3 linked regions of the Drosophila melanogaster genome follow. The protein of the gene in region 1 interacts with the protein of each later gene in a biochemical or structural test. Each region holds a gene or a part of one and is shown on either strand. Other genes may lie near its edges. The genes, in order: pnt, edl and rl.

Region 1 (5,121 bases):
GCCTTTGCTGGAGTCGGACATTTCCGTGCTGTTTAGCAGAAATAAAATAAATAAATGTAAATAACTTGTTGCCGCCAAAAATCTGCAAACGTCTCAGAAATGTGCTAACGCGTTGCAGAGAATGCTGACATTTAGCTGTTGCACAGCACTGTAAAGTAACACGTTTGGCGCCAATTTCAAAATGTTACTACAAATAAAAGAAAACAAGAAAATTATTAAATGGTTTTAAGAATATAAGTTTTACCTAGAAATCCTCAATTATTCTTAGCTTTGTAGTTCCACCTAACACAAATTAAAAAAATAATGCTTAAAATCTGATGAAATCATAAAATATAATATTTATGTTTATTTCATCACAGCTTGACCATTTTAGCTATAATTTTCCTGTAATGGGCATTAAATGCCCTATTTGCTGACAATTTAAGGACAGCTGCTGGCCAATTGAGTTGGCCTGTTGGCCATGTGTTTTCCAACTGCTGAAATGTGAAGTTTTTTCTACTAGTTCTCCGCTGCAATGGCATCATGCAGTCACGCACACAGGCGCATTCATTCATAAAAATCCGGCTCACCTACACGAGTTGTAAGATTCCAGCGCAGTGGAGAGAGGGAGAGAGAGTGGGAGAGCGGCGCGCATGCGCTCTTTGAGTTCTTTTTTTTCGCTTGCTGCACTTGTCGCCCCCTTTTATGTTTTTCAGTTTTACCTCTGCGGCAGCAATTAAGTTGCAGCAGAGGTTGACAATCAGCCATATTTTTATTGCACGTGTTTCGTTATGCAAGGCTGGTTAAGTTTTTTTTTTTTATGTGTACATATACGCTCCCTTGGCCGGGAAAATCGGGAACGCCATCAAGTTTTGTTATCCCGAATCTTATTGCCCTTTTTCTGGGTGCAGCTGGCCATTTGACTGCCGCCCCTGCACTTGCATTCACTTATGCTGTGTAATTTGTAATTTATGCGAAATGCGTTGCCGGAATATAAAAACATTGCAGTCGTTTCAGTTCCATATCGCCGCTCTCTGTCGCACACACTCTCCGCACACATAAACCTGTTTGTGTTTTTGATTTGCGCGAAAGAGAGAGAGAGAGAGAGCCTTTCGAACGCACAGTGGTTGTCATGGTCACGGTGGGAAAATATCGCGCTTAACTTTTTTTGGGGTGTCCAAAAGTATTTTCCCAAGCTGCAGCTTTCCCACATTGTGTGCAAACTTTAATAATGATAATAATAAGTTGATAATTTAATCTCACATCAAAATTTTCATATAGGTATTATTTCATATTAAATAAATATTTTATTAATTATTATAACAAAGAAACTAGTATAATTTTCCTTTTAAATAAGCTGGAACTGATATTTTGACCAATTTACTTTATTTGTCAAAAATATAGATTTGTATAAAATCCAGAATCAAAATAAATAAATTTTTATATCAGTGTACACAATTGAAAGACTGAGACTGCCAAATTTTAAAATATTTGTCTTTATTATTCCGCCCCCTTTGCATACTAAATATTTTAAATATACTAGTGATTTTGGGCACTGTTTAAATGCTTGCCAAAAACGATCGCCCGCACACACACACACACACACATACACGCACCCACACACTCTCTCGCATATTCGCACTTACACTGAGTTCTGAGCAAGCAGATTTTTTTTATAAATTGTTGCTATTTTTTTGTCGCTGCAAACACTTTGTTTTTGCTGCTCGAAATATGTAATTCTGATTTCCATTTTTTTCTTGCGCTCATGATGCACGCTCTAGTGCGAGTGCGAAAGAGATAGCGAGATTGAGGATCACCCACGCCTTTTCGTTTTCATTCCAGCGATCAAGTAAAATAGCGAATAATGTTTATAAGTCAGATTGATATAACTCTCGATTTTCATATTATTTGCCATTTTTGTTATCACTTGCCAGAGCAACACAAAAAAATATTAATCTTAGCAGCGGAGAGAAAGAGAGAGAGAAACGGAGAGAGAAGGTGCGTCGGCGTTGGCGTCAACGCTGCGTCTGCGCCAACGTCGGCGTCGCTGCCGCCTGTTGCCAGTCGGTCAGTCTGTTTTTGTCTTTCTTTCGGGAAGCGTGCACTTGCGCTACGGTAAATTCGATTTGAATGAATTATACGAATCAAATAACAAATAAATAACAAATGCAAAACACTTTGCAAGCCAAGCAAAAACCCAGTGTGTAAGTGAATGAGTGCAATAGCAAAACATCTAAAGATCTGCGCGCGCAATATACATCAAAAAAAGGAAGGCAAACAGCAACAGAAAAAAAAACGCGGTTCAGAAACACAGGAAACCAATTTCTATATACGAAATTCATCATAAAACCACAAAAATCTCCTCAAACATCGCGTGAGAGTGCCTGAGTGTGAGTGTGCGCGCGCGTGTGTGTGTTTGCCAGCGATCCGTCGGCCTTTTTTCGGTTTGTTTCTTTTCGCGTCTTATAAGCCGAGCTAAACCGATCCCCGATTTCTTCTCGAGTTGTTCCTTTCGGTTTTTCGTTTGTCTTTGTGCCCGGCACGTAATCCCTCTCTCTCTCCCCCTAATCAACCTGCTGATCCCACCGGAGGGTTAAAACATACACATCTATACAGCGTGATAGAGAGAGAGAACGAGCAAGAGATAGTCATCGGTGCTGCGGAGTCCATCAAGATTGTGCGCCTAATTTGAAGCTGTAATTAATTTGGATACCCTAATAAAAAGCCAACCGAAAGACGGTCTTTAGAATCCAGAACCCACAAACCAAAAATCAAGAGCCCAGTAGCCCCCGCCTTCTTGTTCACGAAGGGGCGCTATTTTATTACCCCGCACCGGTAAGAAAAGTGAAGTGTTGAAAAACAGTAGTTCAAGTATTAGTTTTTGTTATTTTCCCTACACTCGAAACAAAAATCCAGCGAAAATTAAAAGACAAAACAATTGAAAACAAATAATAAACCATATATCTCTTAATTGCTGTTGATATATAGTTTTGAAATATAACTTTTAAATCATATTTATCTTAAAAATATGAAATTTAGAGAGTTTCTTTTGAGTGCATGTAAACCCTTTTTGTGTTGGTGTTGCCTGTTTTCTTGAATGAATCTAGGAGAAAACTGGTTTGGCTACCGCTCGGTAGATCCGCCGATCTCGCGATCTCGCCTCGATTCAGGATTGCTGCCTCTATAAACTCGTTGTTGGCCAGGCCAACAGAATTTGAATTGGTTTTCTACTCGGCATCATAGCCAAGCTAGTTAGCCGCCAGTGTGCGTGAGTGTGTGTGTGTGGGGCACTTCCACAACCCTTGTGGGAAACACGCTCGAAATTACTACTGTTCCTTTTACAGCTTCCGGTGCGGCAAATGAGCTTCGCCTGCCCCACGATCGCGTTTCGGGCCATCAATCCAAGGGGTTTGGTAATCGAGAATGTGTGAACGGTTTTTGGTTAGGGTCAAGAATCTAGCACAGCGATCGCATTAGACAATTAAGTATCAATAAAACTGATACCGGAGTGCTACTCTTTTGACCTTTCGGTTTTAAAGTATGTATAATTGGGGCTTTCCTGTTCTGCACTTTGGGTTACCTGAAAGGGTTTTTAAAAGGATCTTACAATTTGGGATGTAAATTAAAGTAATTATTAATACAAAAAAGATCAAAGGATAGTTAAAGGCTTAACCGATATCATATTTTATAAAAATGTTACCATTAAAATGATTAATTTTACAATAAGATTTTGCTTAGATCAATTGTTATTATTTCTATGATAAAACTTGATTTACGTCCTTATCGCAGTCTTAAAGCCAAAAAACGATAATTTAAGGAGTTACGATCATTGAACTACTCTAAAGACATGTTTAATATCCCTTGGGCTATTTAAAAAAAACCAATTTGCGAGCAAAATACACAAGGGAATGATAAGAAATTATTGCCATAATCGATAATTTGATGTGTGACGATCGTCGGATCATAATTGAGCCCAGCTACCGCCAACCGCTCCTCTCCCTTTCCCTCCTCGAGCGTCTGGTCCGAAATGAAAGACCAGTTCAAGATCCTTTTCCATAAATACCCACAGACAATTACAGTTCAGTGGATGTTCGACGGGCTGGTTCGTTGCCCCATGCCACGTTAAACTCGGATTCTGTGCCCGGACCGATGCTAAAAGTATCAACCTGCTGCAGACAGGCCGAGATCAAGATCGATCCCATGACAAGACAAGACGACACACTCGCACAGATATGCCACACACACAGATACTCCGCACACATAGATATTCCGCACACACATGCAGTTCGGACTGTTCTGCGACAGATAGAACAACACATGTGTACACAGGCAGGCATCCCGAGGATCATCAGCGGATCGGAGATCCCTTCTTTACATTCAGCGCGAGGAAAAAAGGGCCAGGCGCTGGGAAAGAAAAGAGCAGCGACTAAATGTGTATTCTACCGTTACGTACACATCGAAAAATTGCACCCCTATTTGTTGCCGCTGCTGGTGTTTTAGTTGTTGCTGTCGTTGTCGTCTGGCCGAGGAGTGCGCACCATATCAAAAGATCATATTCGTTTACAATCTGTTCTTTAAGCATCTGCTGCGCCCAGACTCTCCTCCAGACATCAAAAACTCGGACTGCCAGACATCTTCCACTCGTTTGGTCCACTTACTATGGGCCAACCCAAAAAATTTTGCTCTTTTCCAGGGAAAACATATGCTCCGATTTTCGTTTCAATTCGATTCGTGTGGTTTTTTGTTGTCGCCCTCGCTCTCCCTCATACATACGTATATATAATATTTTATTTTATTTTATTTTTTTTTTTCGGTTCGGTTATCTACGTGTCGGGGCGATAAGGTTTTTTGTTCAGATAGTTTTAGCGATTGCGACTCGTTTTTGGCACCCTGCCGAATGATTTTTGGTGCTCGAAATGCTGCGATTTGAAGGCGGTTTTTGAAAAATGTGCCACTTTCAAACTTACGCATTTGTTCCTCGATTTTCCCTCTGGACTTATCTGCATTTGAGGAATTTATTTTCATATGAATGATTGATTGGTTTCAAAAAAAAAACTGTGGAATTCGCGAATCGATAAGGACAATTGTCAAGTCACTTTTAATTAATTGACTAAATAAACCCAAATTAATCTCTGCCACTTG
Region 2 (7,972 bases), on another chromosome or scaffold:
AAAACGTTGCAATTGGATGCAAGGCAGCTGTTTTGGCTTGGGTTCGTATGTGGACAGGATGAGCCGGGGATTAACTGTATGTGCACTTGGAAAAAACCCATGCAGGATTATAAAATTAGTGAATAAATATTCAAACATTCGCTTGATCACTTTTATATTGATATTAAAGATACTGCTAGCTTAAAATTATAAAATGGTCTATATTATATTCTTAAAATCAAAAGTACTTTTCAAGTTCTGCTTGATTTTACATTATTTTTTTGTGGGTATACATTTTTCTCCGTGTGTCCTTATCTACGCGCGTCCTTCGCATCGCAATTAGAAATGATTAGAACAACGCCGCAATCAATTAAGGAAAATGGTACCTACTCAATTTATTTGCCCGGCGATCGACAACTGCTGATAAACAAGCCATTAGATGCACTTGAGATCGCAACAGGACACCGCTTCAAAGAGTAGCTGCTGCATCTGCGCTGCAATTCGAGTGCAGCTGATCGATCCTGCACCTATGCACCTTTTTCAGGGCGTACGCGTGCCCGTGGGCGTGGTCCTGCAACTACTGATAAAATTTCCAAGTAAAAACTGGCGTAACTCGATCAGCGGCATGATCCCGCCTCACGCGATGGTTAAAAGGATTCCAGCACGCACTTGACAGCTCTGCACACATGGCTGACCTACAGTACAGATAAATATATATATGTATGTATTACCATATGCTATACCATTCCGATTCGAATCCCCAAAAAGGATCTCCAGAGGTATCCCGATATCGCTTGGCATGCGTGCCAGCCGCAAAACATTGAAATGCTTTTTAGTGCGCGGCAGGAAAAGGATTTCCTGTAATTACTCGACGATCAATGCTGGCTGAATAATTAGGAACGTTCCACGAAATTAATGAGTTAGTTACTTACAGAATTAATGAATGCACAAGTGCATGATAAATCTTCGAAAATTGTTAATGAATATGGTGATAAATTAAGTGTCAAGGTCTAGTCATAGAAAACGTGGAATAATATAGGAAAAGTACAAAATATAAAGGTTATGGATATTTGTATATTCTTTTATGACATATTAATTTCAACATTTTATTTCAAAACATGTTTTTAATAACTACTCCTTAAAATACTTTTTTTTCAACTGCGCACAGAAGTGTCAAAGACACTCGATGACAGCTTCCAGAAAAGATATTTAGAACATTCGAATGCAGGGATTAACCCGACGGATTGCCTTTCTCTGGCTGTATGTGAATCTTTCGTTTCCTTAATACCCCTATAAATAAGAATACAAATACCATAAAGTCTGTTTTCAAATCCCTTAATCCTTGAACAAAAAAGTTCATACAGCTAAAGTTAACCCACATTTCTATAGGCCAAGGAACTATTCGTATTTCCTTCATTCTGGAAGCCAAAGAACCTCTTTTCATTGACCTTAGCTGTTGGCTCAATAAGCAGGAAAGATTGTTCGAAATGCGGGTCTGCATATACACTGAAACAAAAAACTAAAAATTTTCAATATATTCACCGATATTAAGTCAGTAATAAACTATATAATTCTATACTTTGATATGATTTATTTATATAAATTAGGTAAATATTTATATATAGACATATATCAAAAACTAAATTCTTAAACATTTGTTAATAAGAACAAAAATTAAAGTTAACGCAATAAGTAAAAATATTTTTTTTTTTTAATTTTTCCAACTTTTAATTGTCCTTTTAATACTAATTTCTTTCTGTACGCGATCTACAAATATGTCCACAGCTGTTGTCGAGAGAAACTGCAGAGCTGAGAAGCCGGGCCGAAATTCGAACTCGAATTCGAAGAGAGCGCAGTCAACAAAAACCGCTGCACGAGCACGATCGCAATCAGTTGAGAACGTGGAGCGCGCGCGAGCAGAACGCAGACACAGATACATTTCTGAGCTTCATATAGATTTGCAGTGCGCATTACTCACTCATCCGCCAGATACAAAGATACGTTTCGCAGTACGCCTGACGATTGCAACTGGCAAACTGGATTTACCACCCCAAAAAAAAAAAATAAAATAAAAGAAATAACAAAAAATAGAAAACCAAAACAATAGCCACAACTACAAATCGTGTTAAGTGAAAAACGAAGCCAATTGCAGTAGCAACGAAAAACTTTCAAAACCCGAGCCATAGCGAAATAGGAAAAGTAGTTCAGAGCGTGAAAAATACGTTATATGCTGCAAAAGTTGTGAAACGAAACGTATCCGAGAGATACAATCCCATTGGGAGAGCGAGAGCCAAGCAAAGTGCAGTTTCCAGAAGCAGATACCATTTAAACATATTTATAACCCAACCGAAACCAAACAAATAATAAAGGCTGAAAAATTCGAATACACCCAAAAAAACAAATTTTCCAACAACTCAACCTCGACGACGACGATTCGCAACACAAACTATTGTTGGATTAACATTTTTTTCGATCAAGGTAAGTCGGTTTACATATGCTGTTTTCATTTTTTTTTTTTATGGCCATCATTAACACTCAAAAGCATTCCGAAGGTTTAAGTTGACTCTTGGCTTTTATAGTTGGTATGTAGCTGTCTTGCAGCCCAAAAACCGACAAAAGTTGTCTGTCAGTTTTGATGTGACTCTGGCTAATTGACCTCCAAGCTGGTGTTTTCATAATTAAGCTAAAATGAAGCCGAGCGGTAGTAACAAATTGAAAGTTCACGTAGATACATATTTCAAGATATCTTGAGGTTCGACTGGTTCGGCATTTGCCAAGGGAAATAAGCTACATAACGGCTAAGATACATCTTTTGGGCCAAAAAGAGGAAGACCACCTTGTGCTGCTCGACTGATCCCTTAATAACATACAATTTCGTTCTGTGCACTAACAAAGCGACACTTAAAATGCCAAGACGGCAGCTGCAAACAGAATTGTTGTGGCCAAGTCGATAAAGATGCATTCGGCTGGATGGTTTCGTGGTTTCTCCCAGTTATTGGACCCGTTTCTCTGTTCATTCTGTTCTTCTTGCTCACACTGAATGCGCGCGCATGCGCAAAGGATATGGAGTTGTATGGGCGTCGAGGGTTGCAGCAGGAGTGGCATACCGTTTGCCCCGCGTGTTCTGGGTAATCTTTGCAGCTGCAGGACTGAACAATCTGCACCTGGCCTCGCCCGCTTAATTAATTTCCCAGCTGACTCAGCTCGCCGTCGTTCTTTCTCGTGGGGAGGTGGAAATGACAAACCTCTGACTATGCCACTCACTTTGATAAGCACTTACTGGGCCATCGGGCAGGGGACCCACTTCCTGCTGACCCAAGGGCGGCGAGGAGCTGGGGATCAGCTGCAATGGCTCACTTCGCGATGACACGTGCGAGGCGTGAACAGTGAACGCGGAACATACATGAATCCCCTACTTTCTTAGTTCCTATCACATTCATTTTAATTTACTTGCGCTACTGCACATTTGACAAGACTCAAAGCGATTCGAAATGCATTTGGCGCCATTTGGCCGCACGGTACTTATATTTTTAAACGCATCAGCGACAACAAGACCGAAAGTCGTCACACATCCGTCCATCACACATTGGGGGCCACAGTGCCGCACACTGAGCGAAAAGGTTGTGTGCGAAAAAAATATCTCTCAAGAAATAATATAAAAATAATATTAAAGATTAAAAGCACTGGGACTTTATTCCAACTCTACTGGTCGAATAATAGCCAATTTTGTTGTTGCATTGTGACTATTTCTCTCAGTGTGCAGCGAAATGATGAATGGGGCTGTTGGGGGCAGACAGAGACGGCGCGACAGCGTCACAGTGCCACTGAATGAGACGGCAATAGCAGACGTCAGGCAGACGATGCAGTTGCGCTGCCTTCGCCTCGATGGCGTTACATGATTTGTAGTATCAGCAAACATACGTCACAACAACAAAAACAACAACAACAACAACGACAAGATGTGGCAGCATGTGCACAAATGCAATCCGGTTCGCTTGCCCGCCAAGCTAGACGAGCAAAAAATGTTTATTTTTAACAATATTCCACAGATTATCATCTGTCGTCGTCTGATGCACTTCGATGAATGGGCGAGTTTGTTGCCTTGAAGGCTAGCCAAGAAAATGAGACTTAGATTTTAGCAAATTAACAAAACAACAACGGACTGATTATTAGCATGATATAAAAATATCTCACTATTTACTTAGTCATTTCATCCAAATATCGCCGATAAGCCACTGGCTCATTTACATTAGTCAGATTAGTTATTCTGCAAGCGGATTACACGCAAATTCTTACAAAATATGTCAATTTAAATTTTTTGAATATTTGGAAATATTAAATGTTAATGCCTGTGGCCCTGCAAAACTCATACAAATTGTGATCCGCGGAGAAGAATCTGTTTAGTTGAGCGGAAACCGCTTGAAAGATGAAAAGACAAGCCTGGAGAAAGAGGAAATTGTGGGGCATAAACACCCGCCGACAAAAACAGACAAGATACACAGATACAGATACACGCTCGAAACAGCGAGAATCACATATATTTGGCGGATAGCAAATTACGCACTTAAAGTGCTCGCCAAATGACAGGAAACGCGTCATTTTTACGAACTTCAAATTACGATTTTTTTTTTTTTTTTGTATTACGTTTCCTTGTCTTCCGGACACTTAAAGTTCTGCATGTGTGAGTGTTGGTTTAGTGGCTGCTACTAAGTAGCATGAGAAGACAGACTCAATATATTTTCGTGTATGCAATTAAAACTGGCGCACATTTCCTCATTTATTTGTGCGAGTGTATTGGCGGGCATTTCCTTGAAAAAGGGACATGGGGGTGTGCATCCTGTGCGCAGCGGATATGCGAACGTTGCACCGACGACTCAACTTCCTGCCATTGACTTTTGTCAACCGAATAGTAACTGAAAACCATTTCCCTTTCCTTTTCCTTTTCCTTTTTCCATTTCCATCCATTCATCCATCCACCGAAAACAAAGCGAAGCGTGAAAAACAACGCGTGCTGAGCACGAGCTACCGATCAACTCGAATGTCAATGCCATATGCTATATGTACATATAGGATACAGGGTATACTATAGTTGGCTCCCCTCCCCGACAACACGAATCAATCACTTCGAAACTCAATTTGGGTGGGTGGAGGTGCATTCGAGTCAACGGAAGCCTCGCAGACAGCTCCCTTCGGCAATTGCTGACTAATCCGCTCTGGTTTTCCATTTTTCCGCTTTTCACACGCTTTTCGCGCGCGTGGGAGTGAGAAACTTCGGCCTTTATTGGCTTCTAACGTGGGCGGAAGTGAATGCAGTTTGTGAATGCAGTTTGAACCAAATGTCAAGAAGATTGCATGCTAATTTGAGTTAATATATCATTTAGTTAGGATCGTATAATAATGGATAAGTTATTTTAGAGCCTATGCTTCATGGGTGGGCTTAGTTTATTCCACTTTAAATTGAATTTGAAATAATGTGAAATAATTGAATTCCGCCCGCTGGGGGACCACCCGAAGATCGACCAGACTTAGGGATTCTTAATGGGTCATTCTCCACCAGGGGGTTCTACTTCGAGGGCTTTGTTATTTCCAACTAATGGTGTCTGGAGTGTCGCTCTACTAAATGTTTCAAATTGTTTATGGCAACCGCTGTGATTCACCATTTCGTTTTGATTGCCGTGGTCTGTAATATCTGCTTTCACTTCTACACATTAATCGTAACTTAAGATTCGATGGATGCATTACCTACAATATATACCTACTGCTGTGATGCATTCCTATGGTTTATTGCTCTGAATGTTTGTTTGTAAATAAGTAGATAAATAAATATGTATTCCCAGAAGAATCAAGAGTAAATAATTTTGAAAACACGTACATATGTATCAGAAATGGCGATAAAGATATACCCTATTTCCTTTTGCCAGCTTGAGTCACAGTTTCGTGGGAATTTCTTTGAAGCCGCCAATGGGCTGTGTAATTAAAACCACTGCGTCGTCTCCTTACGCATTTCCTTGAACGGAAGCTCCGGGGAGCTCATTCCGGAAAACTATTAAGGTTCCCTTTTGGCGAACTGGGAATCTCGACGCCGCTCTTCCGCCGGCTCTTTCCCGTTCCCATTGCCATTCTTACCCACATTCGCATTGACACCTTTTATGATGATCCGTCGGCGGATGTACACATATATATATATTTTTATTTTGTTTAATACCACCATTTCGGTGGCTCTTTGTTTTGCTCGCCACATTCGCAGCTGCCAATTTGGCTGGTAATTATTTCCGTTCCACTCTGTTTTGACCTCATCACCACCATGTCCTCCTCCTCCTTATTCTCCTTGGGCCGGATTCCCCCTGATCTCTGACCATCTTGTTTGTAATCGCAATCGCAGCTTGGCCTGCGTTTCTATGTCAGCCACATGCCGATACCGCCGGCCCCGCCCCCTATGTTTCCCCCCCATTCAAATGTGACCGCCGATCGATATGACAGCCACCGCTTCGTAATGATTATTCAGCGCTTCCTTTCGCTCGCCATCCGCCGCGATCCGCTGACGCCGCCCATTCCGGCAGCAAGGTCAGATTTAATAACGAAATATTAATTCGAAAAGGAAGTTCAGCAGCCGATAGGCGAATAACAGATACCCTCATGCAAAGTATAGCAAAAGTCAAAATATGCTTAGCAAACTTGTTTGTTGTTAAGCTGGCTGATTTTTTGAAGTTTTGTATTTCATCAGGAATCATATGTTTATGTGTATATCATTAAGATTATAATCGCTCGTAATCTTTTTGTCAATATACCCTGCAATCGTGAAAGAGCGAGGGTCATCACACTTGTGATGTGTACAAATCGGCGTATGCGTGTTATTATTTATATTAGTATGCGCTTGTTTTGTTGTTTCTTGCCGTTGTAACGATTAAAACAATTGCCAGCTTGTGGAAAGCATTTCCGTTGTACTAACCCCATCACTTGCCCGCCAATGTGCCGCTTTCGCCCGCAAAACGTGAATCACAAGCCTTAATCAGCAATTCTTACTCCACTTTCAGAACTCAAACGTTGCGAACGGAAGCGAAATGCAAGTGGAATCGAGCTATACCAAATATGCCGGACGTGTGCCACCTTTGGACCTCACCCAGGTGAATGGTGGCCAAGATTTGTGGGGCGGCAATGGTGGCGGCAATAACGCATCCGCCAGACGCCATCTGCATCATCCCTATCAAATGCTGGACAAGTGCCGCGGCGGAGTAACCCTGATCAGTGCATCATCCGCCATCTCATCTACATCCAACTCCTCCGACGACAATAACAATCGACTGATGAGCGCTGATGATGGCACCACCAGTCTGCTGCATCCCTTGGGCTCCGATGGTCTGCCTCTGGATCCGCGCGATTGGACGCGAGCGGATGTCTGGAAATGGCTCATCAATATGGCCGTATCCGAGGGATTGGAGGTCACCGCCGAACTGCCACAGAAATTCCCCATGAACGGCAAGGCATTGTGCCTGATGAGTCTCGATATGTACCTGTGCCGAGTTCCCGTGGGCGGCAAGATGCTCTACCGCGACTTCCGGGTGCGACTCGCCCGAGCAATGGCCCTGCTATCATAGGGATTACCCATATATCTCACGGATACCCAGTCCTCTCTATGGTTGTACATATCTCTAGGATTCGATTAGTTAAGTTCTAGTTATGCTAGCTTATAATGCCTAGTCCTTAGTTCTGCTCGTCATTTAAGTATTAGCGATAATATTCTGCATTTCAATATGGTCAAAGATTGCTTCAAGTTTTCAATTCATTTTGAAAGAAAAGTGATTGGAGTGAATAGAATAAAAGATTGAAGTTACAATGCTGTCCTATTAGTTAACTAAGTTCGCATATGATGAAAATATAAAATGAAATTTTATAACTGAACAAGCTGGTGTATTTATTGAAGGAACTCGTTGGTAATTCACTAGTGAAATATATTGTTTGCAATATATAATATTATCTCTAGCTACTTTTAAAA
Region 3 (5,087 bases), on another chromosome or scaffold:
AAAATCTCTGAAATTTCGCATAGCTGCTATCGCCACCAAACATTTCTGCTCAGTCACAGAACACACTAGTCGGCACTACACACACTGTTGGCAGTAAAATTTTAAAATGACTTAATATGATAATAATGATTATTTTTTATTTGTTGGGTGTAAGTAATATAAACATAAAAATTAACAAACGATATAGACAAGTTAATGTAATATGATTATTTTTTGTATTGGCATAAGTATTTTGACAAGCCTTTAATACCTAAATAAATAAGTTTAAGTGAAGCTGCAGCTTTTTTTAACGAGTTATTCTCGAAAGAACTTACATCTGTCCATAAAACACTTTTCCAGAACGAAATTAGTGAACCGGGGTTAGAGTTTTCTTAAAAGTTTGCATCTCTATATTCCAAAGCGTTTGAAACTAACAAACACAAACTGTAATTTACAAAGTTAAGTTAAGAAATTCGACAGGGACAGATGATCAACCGAAGTTGGACGCTTACTGTGTTCCTCCATATAATTTTACCTCACCATTACTTAATTTAAGAATGTCTTCATTTTTGAAAATAATTGTGTCCAAGGGTAAACCAAAGTTCTTAAGCATTGTTTTCCCTGACAATTAAAATTGAACAAAAGAAAAATGATAAAGGAAATTAAAGTTGAAATTTTTAAAGTAAAGATATATTTGAATTTATTTATGAGTCTTAATAAGTTCTTTCTGTGCTCTCTAAGTCCATTCACGTTGGACCCACTTCTTCTTTAATAGATAATACAAATGAATTATATCAAAATCACTGGTTCCTGCGCAACTTATTGCGCCAACAACGGCAACGACTGACGTCTGGACTGCGGCAGCGCCGACCAAACACAAGTTTTGCAGTCTGACGGCTGTTAAACAAAATCCCAAAACTCCATACACAAACTAAACTAAACTATATACTAAAACTAGACATCAACTGAGTTGGGCATTTTAAACAATGTGCTAGCTTTGCAGTCGCTCTTTGCGGTGCTACACTTGTACCCGCTCCGTCATGCGAGTTAAACTGAAATGTATTCTAAGAATGAAATAAATTGTTAATAAGGAAAAGGTCATGTTATAAAATAAACCTACATTAATTAAAAAAATTAAACCTACACTTATACCTAAAACCATGGTATTTCATTAATTCATAAAATAAATAGCTGTCATAGACATATTTTTCACGATTTCTGTAAACTTATATACTTGGCGTACGTAGCATTTACTTCGGATATCACCTTAAGAGTAACAAATATATTTAAGTACATTCGGATTTTTTAATGTAAAAATATAAAGTTTTTGACATCTGATAGTATTTTGTTTAAAAAGAATGTTCGATCATCAATCATCCTCCGTTGCAACACTGCTGAATTTTCTGTAGTGGGCAAACTACATTTAGTTAGCTGTACATTTGTATATGCTTCTGAGTAGTGAGCTGTTAAGAAATTTTATTATAATATAATAAAAAAGCAATTAAAGGATTTGTTTTCTCTTAATTAAACATTTAATTTCTGCTTTCGTGTTAATATGTATATTCTACATTGGTTTGTAGTCACGTCTTAATGGTGGGAACAGTACTTTTAGTTCCGTTTACGCTGAATTTACATCTGTTAGGTCACACAGCAGAAGATGGCACATGCCTGCTTTCTTGTTTTATTTTAATGGGCAATAATAGCTTAAATTAGGAATATAACACTAAGTCAAAAGGTTTTTATTTCTGCGCTCCCATTGAAAAATGTCCAAAAATATATTTAACCCAACATCAGGTTAATATGTGATGATCAATTTCCTCCTTTAATACCAATTTTTAAATAAAAAAATGTCTTACGCAATGACTGATCATTTTTAAATTATTATATTATTTAATATTAATTGTGGAAATTGTGGCTGCCAAAAGACTGATGTACCTTTTGGGATCCGATTATAATTGGATCGGATAAACATTGACCAGTGTCGTTATCTTAACATATTATTAATGTTTTACGCCGTCGATTTTGATAAATCATATTTACGCATTTGTCTAAAGAGTAAAAAAAAGTTGAGTTTATATATTCATATCTTAAGTTATAGACTTTTGGTTAAATTCATAATAAAGTAAATAAAGATTTTGCACTTATTGCTGTTCACTTAAATAAGATAAAGTGGGACATATTCAGTTGTAAAAGTGTTATTACAATCCACGCATACATACATTGCGAATTTTGCAGATACGGTGTATTTTGTATCATAACATCTTTAGTAGTATTTCAAGTTTTCCAGAAGAAACGTTAGTCATGGAGGAATTTAATTCGAGCGGATCAGTAGTTAATGGTACAGGATCTACGGAAGTTCCTCAATCTAATGCTGAAGTTATAAGGGGACAAATATTTGAAGTTGGTCCTAGGTATATTAAACTCGCCTATATAGGTGAAGGAGCTTATGGCATGGTTGTGTAAGTACCTAATACCTATTTTTATTTTTGAAGCCGTTTTTAATCTACAGTGTTTGCACACCTCTTTCTTGTTGTTCCTTTGTCCATTATTCATAGTTTTTTTTTTATCTTGCGGTTCTCCTTCCGAAATGCAGTAATACTCAGAACCGTGTTCTCTTGATTTTATATCAAGTAATACATTTTGTTCAAGTCCTTTGCTGTAAGTTCGCATACATGGTATTGCTGAATCAATGTTATTTTTCGAAAATGCATTAAATTTATTCACATCAATCATACGCAGTACTAAGCTGTGAAACACTTAACAACGAAATAGTTTCTCAAATTTTTGATTTCTTTCTTTTTCTCTAAACGTGGCTTAGTTTTGCTTTTTCTTTGACAAAATCAATCTTTAAGGGTCGACACAACCGAGTTTGTTTTCATGCAAAAGCCTAAATTGGCCGATGGACTTTATAAATAAAGGAAAGTCAATAGCTTCTGAGTCATATTGCTTGCTTTTAAACGCTGCGCACAAAACTTTCGTTTACCGGTCGATCGGTTGTTCAACGCAATACAATTTCTCGCTAAACTTGGATTTGCTTGTTAAAGTACTCTTTTACTCGGTGCCTTTATACCTTTTTCTAATGCTTTTGGACATAATTAGGGATTATTCATTCATTCATTAAAAGTAAATTTGGAACCTACATTTTCAAAAATAAAAAATCAACACATTTTTTAAAAGTTGCAGTTGCAGTTTTGGGCGGAGAGTGGGCATGGCAACATTTCATTTTTCAGTATTTAAAAATAAAAAATATTTAGTTGAATTATTTTGTTATATTCTTATAAAATATTTAAAAAGCGGACATTTTGTTTTTTTTTTTAGTTTCTTTTAATTTTAAATTATAGTTTTATGTTTTTTGATTAGGTTGGAGTTTTGAGGTGGGTAGCAAATGGGGTTGATTGACTGAAGAGAGCATATTTTGGGGAGGGGTCAGTTCATGTAGTGGGCATTGGTAAGGTTGGTGTGTCCAAGCCTGAGCCTTTTTATTAGGATTTGTGTTTTCTTATTGTGTTATGTAGTGTTGTAGCTTGAAGGATGAGCTCATACCAGGGAAAATTGAGAAAAGTCGTCACAGTTGTAATTTGAGGAGTGTACAAGGGCGTATCTGTGGGCATCTTTAGCTGTTTTGTCGGCGTATTCGTTGGCGGATATGCCGATGTGAGTGGGCATCCATATAAGTTAAATAATTGGGAAGTGGTTGGTGAGAGGGTTTCTTATTGTGGATAGATATTATGAGATGTTGATTGGTATTGGTATTGGTGAGGAAATTTAGGGCGGACAGGAATTCGAAGCCCGGCGGCTAAATTTAATTTTGCTGGCGTTGCTTGTTACGCTATAGCTTATTATTTAATTGGATATCGAGCCATATGTGTGGCTGCATAGTTGCAAACCAATGTATGGCCGTTACGCATCTTGTTATTCTAGTGTCTTTGATATAACATTGGTTGCTGATTTTAGTGTTCTTCTGGACCTTAAACTAAAGTTTTTCAGATCATATTTCGACTATTGTCAATAAGGCAGGGGTGTGCTTGGTTTAATAAAAAGGAGGTCAAAGGAATTAAATGATCATTACAGCACCAAAACCTTATTCATTTCGCTAGTCCGTTCGATTCTTGAGTATACGTACCTCAATCGGATCGCATTGAATCGGTCCAAAAAAGTTCTTCTTTTAAGTTTATAGCTATTTGGCTGTACAAAGGAATACTTAAATATATTCCTTATTTGTCGCTGTTCTGCTATAAAAAATCGGAATTCACCACCATATCCTATTATTTGTTCTAATTTATTTTAACAGAATGTGCATAAATCCTTAATGACGAACATTTCTTGGACCTAATCCATCTTGGGACTGTTGGAGAACATCTATGGAGTCTGCCTTAGTTATTAGGTCTTCCATAGCGATATCATTCCTAATTATTTTACATGCGTATTTTACTAGATTCGTTGAAATGTATGTGACAGGCAGAAGAAAGCGTTTCCGACCACATAAAGTATATATATTCTTTATCAGGATTAATATCACACCAATTGTTTTCTTTGCAATTTTTTTTGCCTTTCTTTTCTTTCTTATCTTTGTTTTCCACACCAGAGTTATTTGTAATTTCTTTAACTACATAGCACAAAAGTTATTACTCTTTGCATGCCACTTAAATTATGAGTGATTTTGTAAATAATTCCTACTAAGCCCTAAAAATTGTCCCAGGGTCCTGTTTAACGAAATTCATTTCTGCGACGACGTTGTATTATTATAAATGTTTATTTTAAAATAATATTTCGCGAAATATGTGAGTGTAATATTAAACTTAAATGAGTTTACAAAAGTTTGTGGTGGTTCCCTGTGTTGATCTCAACACCGACTGGACACATTAATTGTATTGATCTCCATGCTCTCTTTTTTCACGCTCTCTTGTGGCGTTATTAATAACATGGTTTACTATACATTCATTTACTATATTCATTAAGCGTTTCAAATCATAATGTATTTCTAATGAACCCGCTGCTTCTTTTTTTTTCTTGTCCACTTTCTTATAGCAATCCAAGGCTTTCGCCTGTTGAAAATTTGTTCCAATGCTTATTAGTTCATATATGCTAAAAATCAAACTACTAAATCA

What was found.
Region 2: the proteins of pnt (region 1) and edl form a complex in vitro, tested with the Drosophila melanogaster proteins (2 studies listed by BioGRID).
Region 3: of the proteins of pnt (region 1) and rl, one has a biochemical effect on the other in vitro, tested with the Drosophila melanogaster proteins (one study listed by BioGRID).

The regions. Positions count from the first base shown.
Region 1 is NT_033777.3:23,343,091-23,348,211, reverse strand, and holds the start of pnt (pointed), read left to right. Parts: upstream 1-2,044; 5' UTR 2,045-2,814; intron 2,815-5,121. Other genes in the region: PolE1 (DNA polymerase epsilon subunit 1), read right to left, coding at 1-21.
Region 2 is NT_033778.4:18,667,431-18,675,402, reverse strand, and holds edl (ETS-domain lacking), read left to right. Parts: upstream 1-1,866; 5' UTR 1,867-2,457; intron 2,458-7,013; 5' UTR 7,014-7,040; coding exon 7,041-7,574; 3' UTR 7,575-7,876; downstream 7,877-7,972.
Region 3 is NT_033778.4:1,070,002-1,075,088, forward strand, and holds the start of rl (rolled), read left to right. Parts: upstream 1-1,973; 5' UTR 1,974-2,044; exon of another isoform or gene 2,045-2,249; 5' UTR 2,250-2,280; coding exon 2,281-2,438; intron 2,439-4,270; exon of another isoform or gene 4,271-4,340; coding exon of another isoform or gene 4,341-4,363; intron 4,364-5,087. UniProt on the Drosophila melanogaster protein: Serine/threonine kinase which acts as an essential component of the MAP kinase signal transduction pathway to regulate proliferation, differentiation and effect cell fate decisions in various tissues.